Cricetulus griseus: one gene and its partners. The protein of the gene in region 2 interacts with the protein of the main gene of each other region in a biochemical or structural test. Links are inferred from orthologs where the notes say so. Each region holds a gene or a part of one and is shown on either strand. Other genes may lie near its edges.

Region 1 (3,512 bases), on a different chromosome or scaffold from region 2:
CAGCCGCCACAACCAAGAACTGAAGTGGTGGTTAGGGTTAAGATGGATGATAGTTACGATTTTAATTTTTTTTATTTTTTGTTTGTCTGAGATACCATCAGTGCCTATCGGGGTGATGTACAGAGTGTTGAAGAGGCAGTGTGTTCAATAATGATGGAAAGACAATTACAGAAATTACTTGAAAGGATATAGTGGGAAATTACCAAAACCGAGTCAGGTAGAAATATAAGGGTATTTAATAGGGAAAAGCCTTACTTACAGAGCGACCTAAGTAGGCGTGGCTACAGCTTCCCCTACAATAGGAGAGATAAACAGTTGGAGCACTGGAATTGTTTTCTAGAGGACAAAGAAAACATGTCAAATACAGATTTATTGCACTTAAAAGTTTATGTATCCGGGGGTGGGCTTAGACCCTATCCCAAAGGATATGATAGACTCTGATAACACCATCCAGGGGAGCAGAAAGGAATTGTGATAGGTAGGGTTTTAGTGGGGGGGTAGGGGAGGAGAGGACTGGGATTGTTATGTAAAACAATCTTGTTTCTAATTCAAATTAAAAAAATCTGAAAGAAAAAAGTAAAGAATGTCTATGGATCTGACAAACATACATAAGACACATTTAAACTGGAAAGGGAGGAGTTCACCGGGAAGAAGTAATGGGTTATGAGAAGAAAGGAAATTTTATGACTTATAAGCATAGAACAACAAGCACTAACAGTGGTAAAAAATAAAATAAAATAAAATAAAGCAATAAAAAAAACAACTATTCTGTGTAAATGCTTGTTCGACAAAAAAGTGTTTGCAGAGCTGGCGAGATGACTATGGGCAGAGTGATTTTAGCCAGGCCTACAACCTGAGCTTGATCATCAGGACTCATGTGGTAGAAAAGAAAGTTACCTTCTCTGACCGCATGCATACACACACACACACACACACACACACACACACACACACACACACACAAATAAATGTAATTCAAAATACTTAACTTATTTGCAGAATTGAATTTCTGAAGTAGTTTCAATGACAGTGAGAAACCAAGGCCATTGGAGCCTACCTTCTGTGTGAGCCACCCATTGATATTTTACTGATAGGACTATCTAGTGAATACTCTACCTACCCCTAATGAAATGTTCTGTAGGAGGACCTCAAGATGGCTCTTCATCGAAGCTGCATCACTGTTCTGGAAATCACAGCTGGGATGGTGCCGTTTCCGAATCACACAGGACAGCCCTCTGTGATCACAGACCCACCCTGTGCTCTTTGGCTATAATAAATCCACTCTTCGTTTCGAAAAGTTCAGGTAAGTATATGCTGTGAGATATACTGCAAATGCTGGTATTCACCTTACACGAACACACTGAGTAAATTCACCATATAATGAGCTTTCTTAGTTTCCATTCCCTACCCTAGAAACATTTAAGTAGGAAAGCATTTCCAACTTCGTGCTGCCCTTGTCTTAACAGGGCCAGGTGCACTCCAGGAATCTAACTAGGAAGGAAGTATTAAGATGAAGCCTCACTTGCTACCTTAGTAAAGGTGAAGCTATTTTTGTTTATCAACTATGCTTGTATCCTTTATGTTTGAAAGGAAACAAAAAGTAAAATCATTTTGCCCCACAACAGCATATAAAAAAATACAGTATTTGCTCAGTAAGGTGAATGGGAGATAAAACTCAAGCCTCTGAATACTTCCTGAAAAATATAAGCATTTTCAAAAAATACTGTTTATACTGGCACCCTCATGTGGAAATGTCCGTTCTGCTTATTCATTTTTACAAAGAATTATACTCATTGCTTGTGTCTGTACTCGTCATCATTGTAAATTGTTCATGCTTGCTCTTTCAAAGAGCGCCTGCAACCTGGAATAGCCCAGCAGTGGATCCAGAGCAAGAGAGAGGACATTGTGAGCCAGATGACTGAAGCCTGCCTTAACCAATCGCTGGATGCCCTTCTGTCCCGGGACTTGATCATGAAGGAGGACTATGAACTCATTAGCACCAAACCAACAAGGACCTCAAAAGTCAGACAGTTACTAGACACCACTGACATCCAAGGAGAAGAATTTGCCAAAGTTATAGTACAGAAGTTGAAAGATAACAAGCAAATGGGACTTCAGCCTTACCCGGAAATGCCTGTGGTTTCCAGAACACCATCTTCAAATTTCCATCAAAATAAAAGCTTATAAGTGAGTCTTTTCTGAGAGGAAAGTCAGTTTACAAATGGTTATTTATATGTCTGTTACCTGGATAATATTTGTATAAAAACATGAGTATTAGTTGCTTCCCTGAAGGTTTTTTGGATGAGATAAGTATGTCTCCTTCCATGGCATTGCAGTATTTTTTTTTAAATTAATATAAGTAAAACTTTTGCATTATGCTGTGTAGTTCAGTTTTTTATGTCAGTTTCATTACTTGAACCTTTTTATGTAATAATTACATTTTTCTTGAATATACCAGTGCCTTAAGGTAGCCTTTGTTTCTGATGGAAGACATTTCCAAACTCACTTTATCTGCGGAGCTTCATTATTCCTCTAAAATGAAATTTGACATTACATAGCAGTGATACAGTAGTCCCACCCTGAAATTCCGAGTTCAGATCCCCAGTGAGTTACTCATTTTTAAATTTTATTCACAAACTGTTAGGAGGTTATTTCCAGGTGCACAAGGTGTATAAAGAAGAAAAGAGCAATCTCTTGTTAACACTGGCCGTCTATCCACCTCTCCTCTTTGAGCAGAGTGAACAACCACTGTGCCCCTGATGGCCTGCTTCCTGCTCCTGTCTAGAACATATGCTGACTGGGTAGAGGCCCTTCCTTACTTAGAGTGGCTGTTTTCTCTGTAACTCAGCATGGTTTCCGCACTGAGGCGTGCTGCAGGTTCAGCTTCCTCCTCATCGTGCACATCTGGTCAGTTAGCACACAGTAGCCAAGCTGCTCTATTTTTTTTTTTTTTCTAAGCTGTTCACACCAACTTCACTACAAACAATAAAGATACAATGCAATGTGAGTCCCTTTTCTTTTGGCTGCTAGCTTATGTCACTCAAGGAAACCTACAAGAAGTGATACCTTTTTCTGAAAACGGTTTAACAATGTTTGCAAAAAAATAAGAAACAGCATAAATTTGAAAGCATATACTTTCGGGATGCACTAGACTTAGAACCTGAAAAATATGAATAAAGAATAAAAGGATTTAGATGGCATTTAGGCAATGAAATATCCCCATTTAAAATAAGAATTTAAGCACCAGGGTTGGACAGATGACTCAGCACTGGCTGCTCTTGAATAGGACAAAGGTTTGGTTCCCAGTACCCATACAACAGCTCACAAACATCAGTAATTCCAATTCGGGTATCTAACTCTCTTCTGGCATCTACAGGCACCAGGCACATACACAGTGCACTTACATGCAGGCAAAACTCATACACATAAAAGGAAAAAAAATTTAAACAATTTAAATTCCATTTTAAAATGGCATTAACCCATGGTATAACTTTTTTGAGACTTTCAGAAAC
Region 2 (3,651 bases):
ATCTTTGCTCTTAAGTACTGCAGATTTTGTTTTATTTTTTTATGCATGAGTATTTTGCCTACTCACGTCTAAGCACCATTTTGTGCAGTGCCTGCAGAGGCCAGAAGAGGGCGATGCACCCTCTGTGAGTGGAGTTAGAGAGGGTCTGAGCCAACTCTTGGGAGTTGGGAATCAAACCTTGGTCCTCTGGAAGAACAGCCAGTGCTCTTAACTATTGAGTCATCTCTTCTGCCCCATTACTTCAGATTTTAAACATTGTGAAGATTATGAAGAATATCCCCCCCACCCCCTCGAAAAGCCAAAAAAGAAAAAAAGTATTTACATAGATTTTTTTAAAAAGTGCTTTCCATTACTCTAGTTAAATTTTTTAATACTTTTTTTTGTTTGTTTTATGTGTGTATATTTTGTGAAGGTCAGAGAACACTTTTTGAGGGCTGGTTCTCTCCTTTTATCCTGTGGGACTGAACTCATGTTACCAAACTTGGTGGCAAGTACCCACTGAGCCGTCTCGCCAGCCGCTACAGTAGGAGTCCTGAGCCTGCACCAGCACTGTATGGATTCACTCTGTACTTGCTTTAGCAGGGGATCTCTAATGTAGGGATTGGGAAGCTCATCAACAGAAGGTTGTGCTGAGTGTCCCCATTCTTTCCCTCAAGTCTGTTTGCATGTTTTCAGACCATGACATTGTCACTGAAATGATCACATGACTTATGGAGAGAACTCTCTGCGTCCATGTTGGCTTAGCGGTATTTTTAGAAACCTAAGAAGAATGGAGAGCAGGGAGAAACTCTGAGTAGAGACCTCTTGGTGGCCTTGGCTTGAGGACTGTGCTGGGAGCTCCTCGTGATCACCACTCAGTGGCTCAGCCTTGACAGCACAGAGGCTACTCCTCTCCATGATCCTGCCTTTCGCTACAGCCCCTTCCTCCTTCCTGTGCCAAGTCAATAGTGTGGTGCTTATGTTTGTGTTCAAGCTCCTGAGGAATGTTTACCAGCCTACATAGAATGGCTCCGCCCAATGTGCCATAAACTTTTCAGGATTTTCAAAATTCAGAGAGATATGGTATAGCCTGGTAATAAAACTATAAAACATAAAGTAGTAAAGCTAATTTTATAAAGCAACTGAAGTATATGAAAAGTGCTAGAAGTTAATCAAATTCACCCTCCCCTCAATGGGCAGCACTTGGAGAGATGGGTCAGTGGTTACCGCTCTTGGTTCCCAGCACCCACATTCAGGCAGCTCACAACCACCTATAATTTCAGTCCCGGAGGGCCAGGTGCTTCTCACCTCCATGGGCCTGGCATTCACGTGCATAAACACACACACGGACACAGACATACACACAAGCAAAACAATGAACCTTCATAAAGCCCCATAAGGAAAACAAGCTCACACAGTGTCAGTCCCGGTAGCCCAGGCTTGCTTATTCTCCTAATGTTAGGAATCTGGTCTTTGGTGATTCTGTCACCTGGGTAACCAGATTTCACACAAGGTGAACACCTAGACATGAATGTGTCATTACATTTCACTTCACTTTCTGAAATTAAAATGAGTTTTCAATCATAAAAATGAGCACAATAAAACTACTTGTAGTGGCACTGTCCCTTCTGAGGCTGGTAATGAACAAAGTTGTCTTGTTAAGGAATGCCCAAGGCTTCTTTGCATTTTAGGTGTGAATACTTGATAAGAATCAAAGGACAAGAGTTTGTTGGCCAAGTTCAAGCTGGGTACCCTCATCTACTTGAACAGGTAGGAAAGACCTCTGTTTTCTTTTCAATTATTGCTTCCCAACAGAGAAATTTTATTTATTTTTAAAGGGTTAGTTGTTTAACAAATTATTTTTAAGAATTTGTTTGTAAAATAAATCACAGAGTAATATTTCAGTGAAAAGGTGAAAGTTGTTTTAAAACAGGCCCTCATCTTTTCTTTCAAAAATCAGCATCACCATGCCGGGAGCCATTCTTGTGAGAAAAAGATCTATAATTATTGGCCACATAAAAGACAGTGTTTGTTGTATTCCTCTTTAAGCATTTGTCTAACCAATCATCAATGTATTAAACTCTGAAGCAAAAAATAAATTAAATTTGAGGGGAGATGTCTACCCTGTAGTTTTTTTTGTTGTTGTTGTTTTTTTAAGTTTTATTTATGTATACAGTGTTCTGTCTGCATGTATGCCTACATGCCAGAAGAGGGCACCAGATCTCACTATAGATGGTTGTGAGCCACCATGTGGTTGCTGGGAATTGAACTCAGGACCTCTGGAAGCACAAGCAGCCAGTGCTCTTAACCTCTGAGCTATCTCTCCACACCTGTAAATTTTTCTTCAGTGACTTGAGAAAGCATTTGTTACTGCTCCTTGGAAAAAGCATATGGGAACTTATTTTATAGTCTAAGCTTCAAGAACTTATCAGCCATGGCTAGAGGAACCGAGTGCTGAGTCATCTATCCCAGCAGATGAGTAGGTACAGCCGCTGCAGATGCAAGGCCATCATGTGGCCTCTCCTGAATCCAGCCAGTCCTATCCTGAGGAGGCTCTGCTCACTGCAGCACACTGTCTATTGGATGCTGGTAACCTTGTTCAAACCCCTGGTAAATGTAAATGAAATGATGCTTTTGACTGAAAAAAAAAATGTCTTCTGGATGGCAAAGTGGTTAAGGTAGTAGGTTAAGTAAAGCAGCTTTGTTGGTGATTCTCAGTGCAGTAGTGGGATGCAGTTTACATTTTAACATGTATGTTTTTCCCCATAGCTATTATCTACCTCAGACACCCCAGAAGACGAGAGCGCAGAGTCACCAAGTATGTATAATGACCCTAGTGCATTTAAGTGAACCAGCTTGTAGTAAGAGTGAAGGTGCAGATGTGTGTGGTTGTAATCCAGCATTGGGGAGGTAGAGGTGGAAGGATTGTTGTTCAAGGCCCCATAGAACTACTTGAGACCCTGTCCTAAAAATAAACAGAAAGGTTATAATGGTAAATGCAGATTCGTGTTGATCTACAATTTATAATTAATACACCCTGTTACTGTCTGTCAAACATCAATGCACAGCAGAGTTGCTTGGAGAGCCAACAGTGTAGATGTCTAGTTTATGCTTCAGACCCCACAGACTGAATCAGTGTATGTAGTGTGTGGCTTGGGTTCCTATGTACAGTTGTTTGATGGTCCTGTGAACCTAGGGCCTCAGGCATGCCAATCACAGCCTCTTTCACTGAGCTCCACCCTGTAGCCCTGGGCATCTATACAGACTGTGTACATCCAGCCTTGCCCTGTTGTTGAGCCTTTGTGGGAACAAATACACTGTGTTTTCAGTTGCTGGCACACTCCTCCTGTCCATAGAGAGGGTAGAACATAGTGTTCCACCCTGACTTGCATAGTACTTAAACCCAAGAGAATGGAGCAAGCATTTGAACAGATCTTGACACTGCTTTTCAGTGTTCAAGGCAATACATTGTAATAATTTATTTATTTTTATTTTATGTGCATTGGAGTTTTATTTGCATGTGTGTCTGTGTGAGGGTGTCAGGTCTCCTGGAATTCAAGTTACAGACAGTTGTGAGCTGCTATGTGGGTGCTGGGAATTGGACCCAGTCCTCAGGGAGAGCAGCCAGAGCTCTTAACTGCTGAGCCATCTTTCCAGGCCTAATGTAATTTT
Region 3 (3,751 bases), on a different chromosome or scaffold from region 2:
AGAGGGCAACTTGTGGAAGGTGGCGCTTTCTTCTAACAATGTGGGTCCTGGGGATCAAACTCGGGGCCTACGGCTCAGCAAGGGTCTTTACCTGCTGAACCATCTCACTGCCTCCCTGCATTTCTTTTTAATGTGTTTTTTTTCCTAGACAGAGTTTCTCTGTAGCTCTGGACTCTGTCCTGAAACTGTGTATGCCAGACTGGCCTTGAACTCAGAGATCCACCTGCCTCTGCCTCCCAGGTGCTGGGATTAAAGGTGTGCACCGCTGCTGCCCTGCCTTTTAATTAGATCTTTTTAACACTACACACTGGCTCCACCATGGGGGAAGGGGGGGGACTGCATCGAGTCCTGCCCCACTTCTCCAGACTCCCCATTTTCTTCACAGCACTTCCTGCTTTTTGGAGTCACTTTATTTACACCCTGAAAGGTCTTCTGTCTGGTTTGAATGAAACTATCTTGCTTGCTGCACACAATAGGACACAATAGGCCCCAGTCATCATCTGTGGGAAGCCCTCACCGTACCTCAAAGCTTGCCCTAAGGTATCTAGCCATGCTAGGTGATCTTGCTTTATTCTGTGGTGCCAGGGATGGAGCCCAGGACCTCCAATATGCTAGATGAACACTCTAGCGCTGAGCCACATTCCAGGCCAAGCCCTGGGATTCCAGCACACATCAGCAGCTGCTGCTGTATCTCCCCTCCTCTGTACTTAGGAAGCACTGGCAGCGTCTCAGGAGTTAGAAGTAGCTGTCAAACCAGATTGTGAGACGGTCTCAAGTAACTACAAGCTGAGCTGAGTGGCAATGCCACCCCAATACTGGCTGCCAGGCAGTGCACTCCTAGGTCTGGCAGGGACACTGCTCTGGGAGATGTCCATACCCCGCCCCAGTCTGGCTTGACTCAGCCTTGGTCTCCAGGAGTGCCCATGGCTGTGCTGGTGAATGAACTGACCCAGCATTGTGCACAGCCTTCTGTCAGAGACCCCAGGTAGTGTGTGGTGGATCACTGCAGGCAGAACCTCTCTGCTTCGAGTCCCTAAGACACACAAGGAAGGCTTCTTGGAATACGGCAAGAGCAATAATCCTGGAAAGATGACTCCCCTGGAACTTCCCTTCAACCCTCCCTAACCCTGTTGCTGTTGGTGCCTCACACAGCTCCAAGACGCCAGTACCCAGGCCGGCGGCCCATCCTTGCCCCTTGCCCACCCCCATCACCAGGCTCCAGAAGATGCAGCTCTTCATCAACAGGGGGCACCTAGTCTCTCCAAAGTCCTTCCCTGGAAGAGCTAGACACCCCGGGGGGTCCCCTTCACCAATGCCTACCCCATCTCTAGACCGCCAGAGCCCCATGCTGCGACAACCAAGTGCAAGTTGTCTGTCCCGAGACAGACCCTTCGGCTTCCCCCTCAGGCCTATCTCAGGTGGTGGCACAGCAGGCTTCTCTTAGCCCACAAGAGACTGGCAGAGCTTCTCCCCTAAAAGCACCCCCCCTTGCTAGGCCTTCCGTGTCACCCAAGGGTTCTCATTTCAGTGTTCTTCTCTCCCACCCATCCAGATAAGGGGGAGTTTGAGTTGAACCCATATATTTTTCCCAATTATTCGAAGTGACCGGCTCCAACTAAACAGGCACTTCCTTCATCCGCCTGGTGCAGGAAGAGGAGGATTTTCTTCTCCAAAAGAAACATCTTGGGGACTGCACCCCGTCCCAGTCTCCCCACCGATGACACGCCCCACCTGACCTCCGGCGGGGCTCCCGAGGCACCTGCTCGTGCCCACCCCACATCGCGCACGGTTCCCAGCGCGCCCTCCGAGACCTATCTGGGCAAACCGTGGTCCCCACAGCCCAGGCCTGCTCCCGCTGCGGACGCCCGGGCTCTCCCTGTGCAGATGCCCCGATTTCCCCGGGAAGCGACCACCAGGAGACTCCCCCTCTCGCAGCCCCGACCCCAAATTCGCGCGGGGCCCTGGGGTGGCCTCGCCTGCGGCCCGCGAGGCTCCCTGGGGTTGCGCCCGCGTCCCCCACCAGGCATCCCCGGATCCCGTCACTCAGGCCGGCTCAGCGGGGCCTGGCCCGGGCGTTCCCGGGCTCGCTCGGCCCCTCGGCCGGCCTCCCCCACCCCCACCCCCGGAGGCGCCCGCGGAACCTCCGGCTTGGCCGCACCGCCCACGGCCCCGCTGCCCCCGCCCGGGCTTCCGGCCGCCGCCTGCTCGTCCCGGCCCGGCCGCGCCGCCAAGAGCAGCCGCAAGGAGATCGCGGAGCCCCGGCCCGGCCACCGTGGCCTCCGCCAGCCCCGGGCCCAGCCCAGCCAGCCCCGCGCCCCGTCCGCCAGCACGCCCGGCGCCTCCGCTCACCCGAGCCTGTGGTGGCTGCCATCTTGCGTCGCTGTCGCTCGAAGGCCGGCCCCTTCTTCACCCCCCCCTTGAGCTTCCCCGGGCGCTGGTGCGCAGGCGCAGGCGTAGGCGCAGACGCAGACGGTGCCGCTGACGCCCGCTCGGGGTCGCACGAGCCGGGCGGGAAGGGCTTTGCCTGGGTCTAGGGTGAGCGAGCACGAGGGCGGGACTTGCAGGTTGCCCCGCCCAGCCCGGCGCCCGGTGCCAGGGCCCCGGTGGTCACGCTGAGCTGGGAGAGCAAACGGGGGAGGAAGGGCTGCGGAACCCCATGCCTTTCTTGGGCGGTTTCCCCTCTGGCTGCCTCCAGCTCATTATTAATGTGGAAATGAAGCTGAGAGGTGTTCGATTCAGATGCTGAGTCAGATATTTTTGTTATGGGTATCTGAAGAGGTCAAACTGTGGCCACTACAATCTTGTTTCCTGCTTTGCTGCTACCTGAAGGGACCCGGCGCTGCCAGGGGATTGAGAACCTTCCTGAGCATGCATTCAGCCTTTTGTTTGCTTGTTTGTTTGCTTTTCGAGACAGGGTTTCTCTGTGTTGCTTTGCAGCCTCATCTGGCACTCCCTCTTTAGACCAGGCTGGCCTCGAACTCACAGAGATCCACCTGCCTCTGCCTCCGGGGTGCTGGAATTAAAGGCGTGCGCCCCCAACGCCCGATCATTTTTTTTTTTTTAAATCGTTTTGTTTGTTTGACCCAGGGTCCCGGGACTCCTGCTGACCTAGCGTTCGCCCTATAGAGGTGGACGACCTTGAATTTCTGATTCTACTACTTCCACCTCTCACAAGCTTGGGTTGCAGGCCTGTGTTACTCCTGGTTTTAGAAGGGTTGCTGGTGGAACCCAGGGCCTTGTGCCTGCTATGCGAGCTCTCTATCAAGGGAGCCACACCCCTACCTTTGCGTCTTTTCACTCTTGATCTAAACATTCATTCATTCAGATATTTATATGTAGGAGGGCGGCTAGGTGCTGGAAATGACAACATCCCCAAAGAGGCAAGAGTCTGTCTCAGGGTTTACATCCTTGCCGGACAGAGAACAAGTGAATATAAATGAACTCTTTACCTGGGATAGGAAAGGGGAACAATTAGGAAAGGCCTCCTTTGGCGATTCCATTTCAACAGTCTTGAATATGCAAAGGTCTTACAGACATACATCCGCATACACTGTAAACCACATCCCGAAGCCACCTTGGAAACCTCTAAGTGGCTGTGGAAAACAAGACTGAGAAAGGTAAAGTAGCCAGCTCCAGGTCGCACTGCTAAGTGCCTACAGAGGGACAGGAAGCTGGGAGCCCTCACCGGAGCGCCCCATTGTCACCTGTTTGGTTTTTACTAAGCATCTACATTGCATTACCTCGCGGAGTA

Evidence for each region.
Region 1: the proteins of baculoviral IAP repeat-containing protein 3 (region 2) and Ripk2 form a complex in vitro, tested with the Homo sapiens proteins (2 studies listed by BioGRID, with this or other methods). The link is inferred for Cricetulus griseus from reciprocal best matches to the Homo sapiens genes BIRC3 and RIPK2.
Region 3: the proteins of baculoviral IAP repeat-containing protein 3 (region 2) and Ube2v1 form a complex in vitro, tested with the Homo sapiens proteins (2 studies listed by BioGRID). The link is inferred for Cricetulus griseus from reciprocal best matches to the Homo sapiens genes BIRC3 and UBE2V1.

Annotation. Positions count from the first base shown.
Region 1 is NC_048595.1:129,989,837-129,993,348, reverse strand, and holds the end of Ripk2 (receptor-interacting serine/threonine-protein kinase 2), read left to right. Parts: intron 1-1,141; coding exon 1,142-1,303; intron 1,304-1,849; coding exon 1,850-2,187; 3' UTR 2,188-2,957; downstream 2,958-3,512.
Region 2 is NC_048597.1:122,234,573-122,238,223, reverse strand, and holds part of baculoviral IAP repeat-containing protein 3, read left to right. Parts: intron 1-1,670; coding exon 1,671-1,749; intron 1,750-2,748; coding exon 2,749-2,797; intron 2,798-3,651. UniProt on the Homo sapiens protein: Multi-functional protein which regulates not only caspases and apoptosis, but also modulates inflammatory signaling and immunity, mitogenic kinase signaling and cell proliferation, as well as cell invasion and metastasis.
Region 3 is NC_048599.1:11,779,869-11,783,619, reverse strand, and holds the start of Ube2v1 (ubiquitin-conjugating enzyme E2 variant 1), read right to left. Parts: upstream 2,495-3,751; 5' UTR 2,372-2,494; coding exon 2,350-2,371; intron 1-2,349. UniProt on the Homo sapiens protein: Has no ubiquitin ligase activity on its own. The UBE2V1-UBE2N heterodimer catalyzes the synthesis of non-canonical poly-ubiquitin chains that are linked through Lys-63.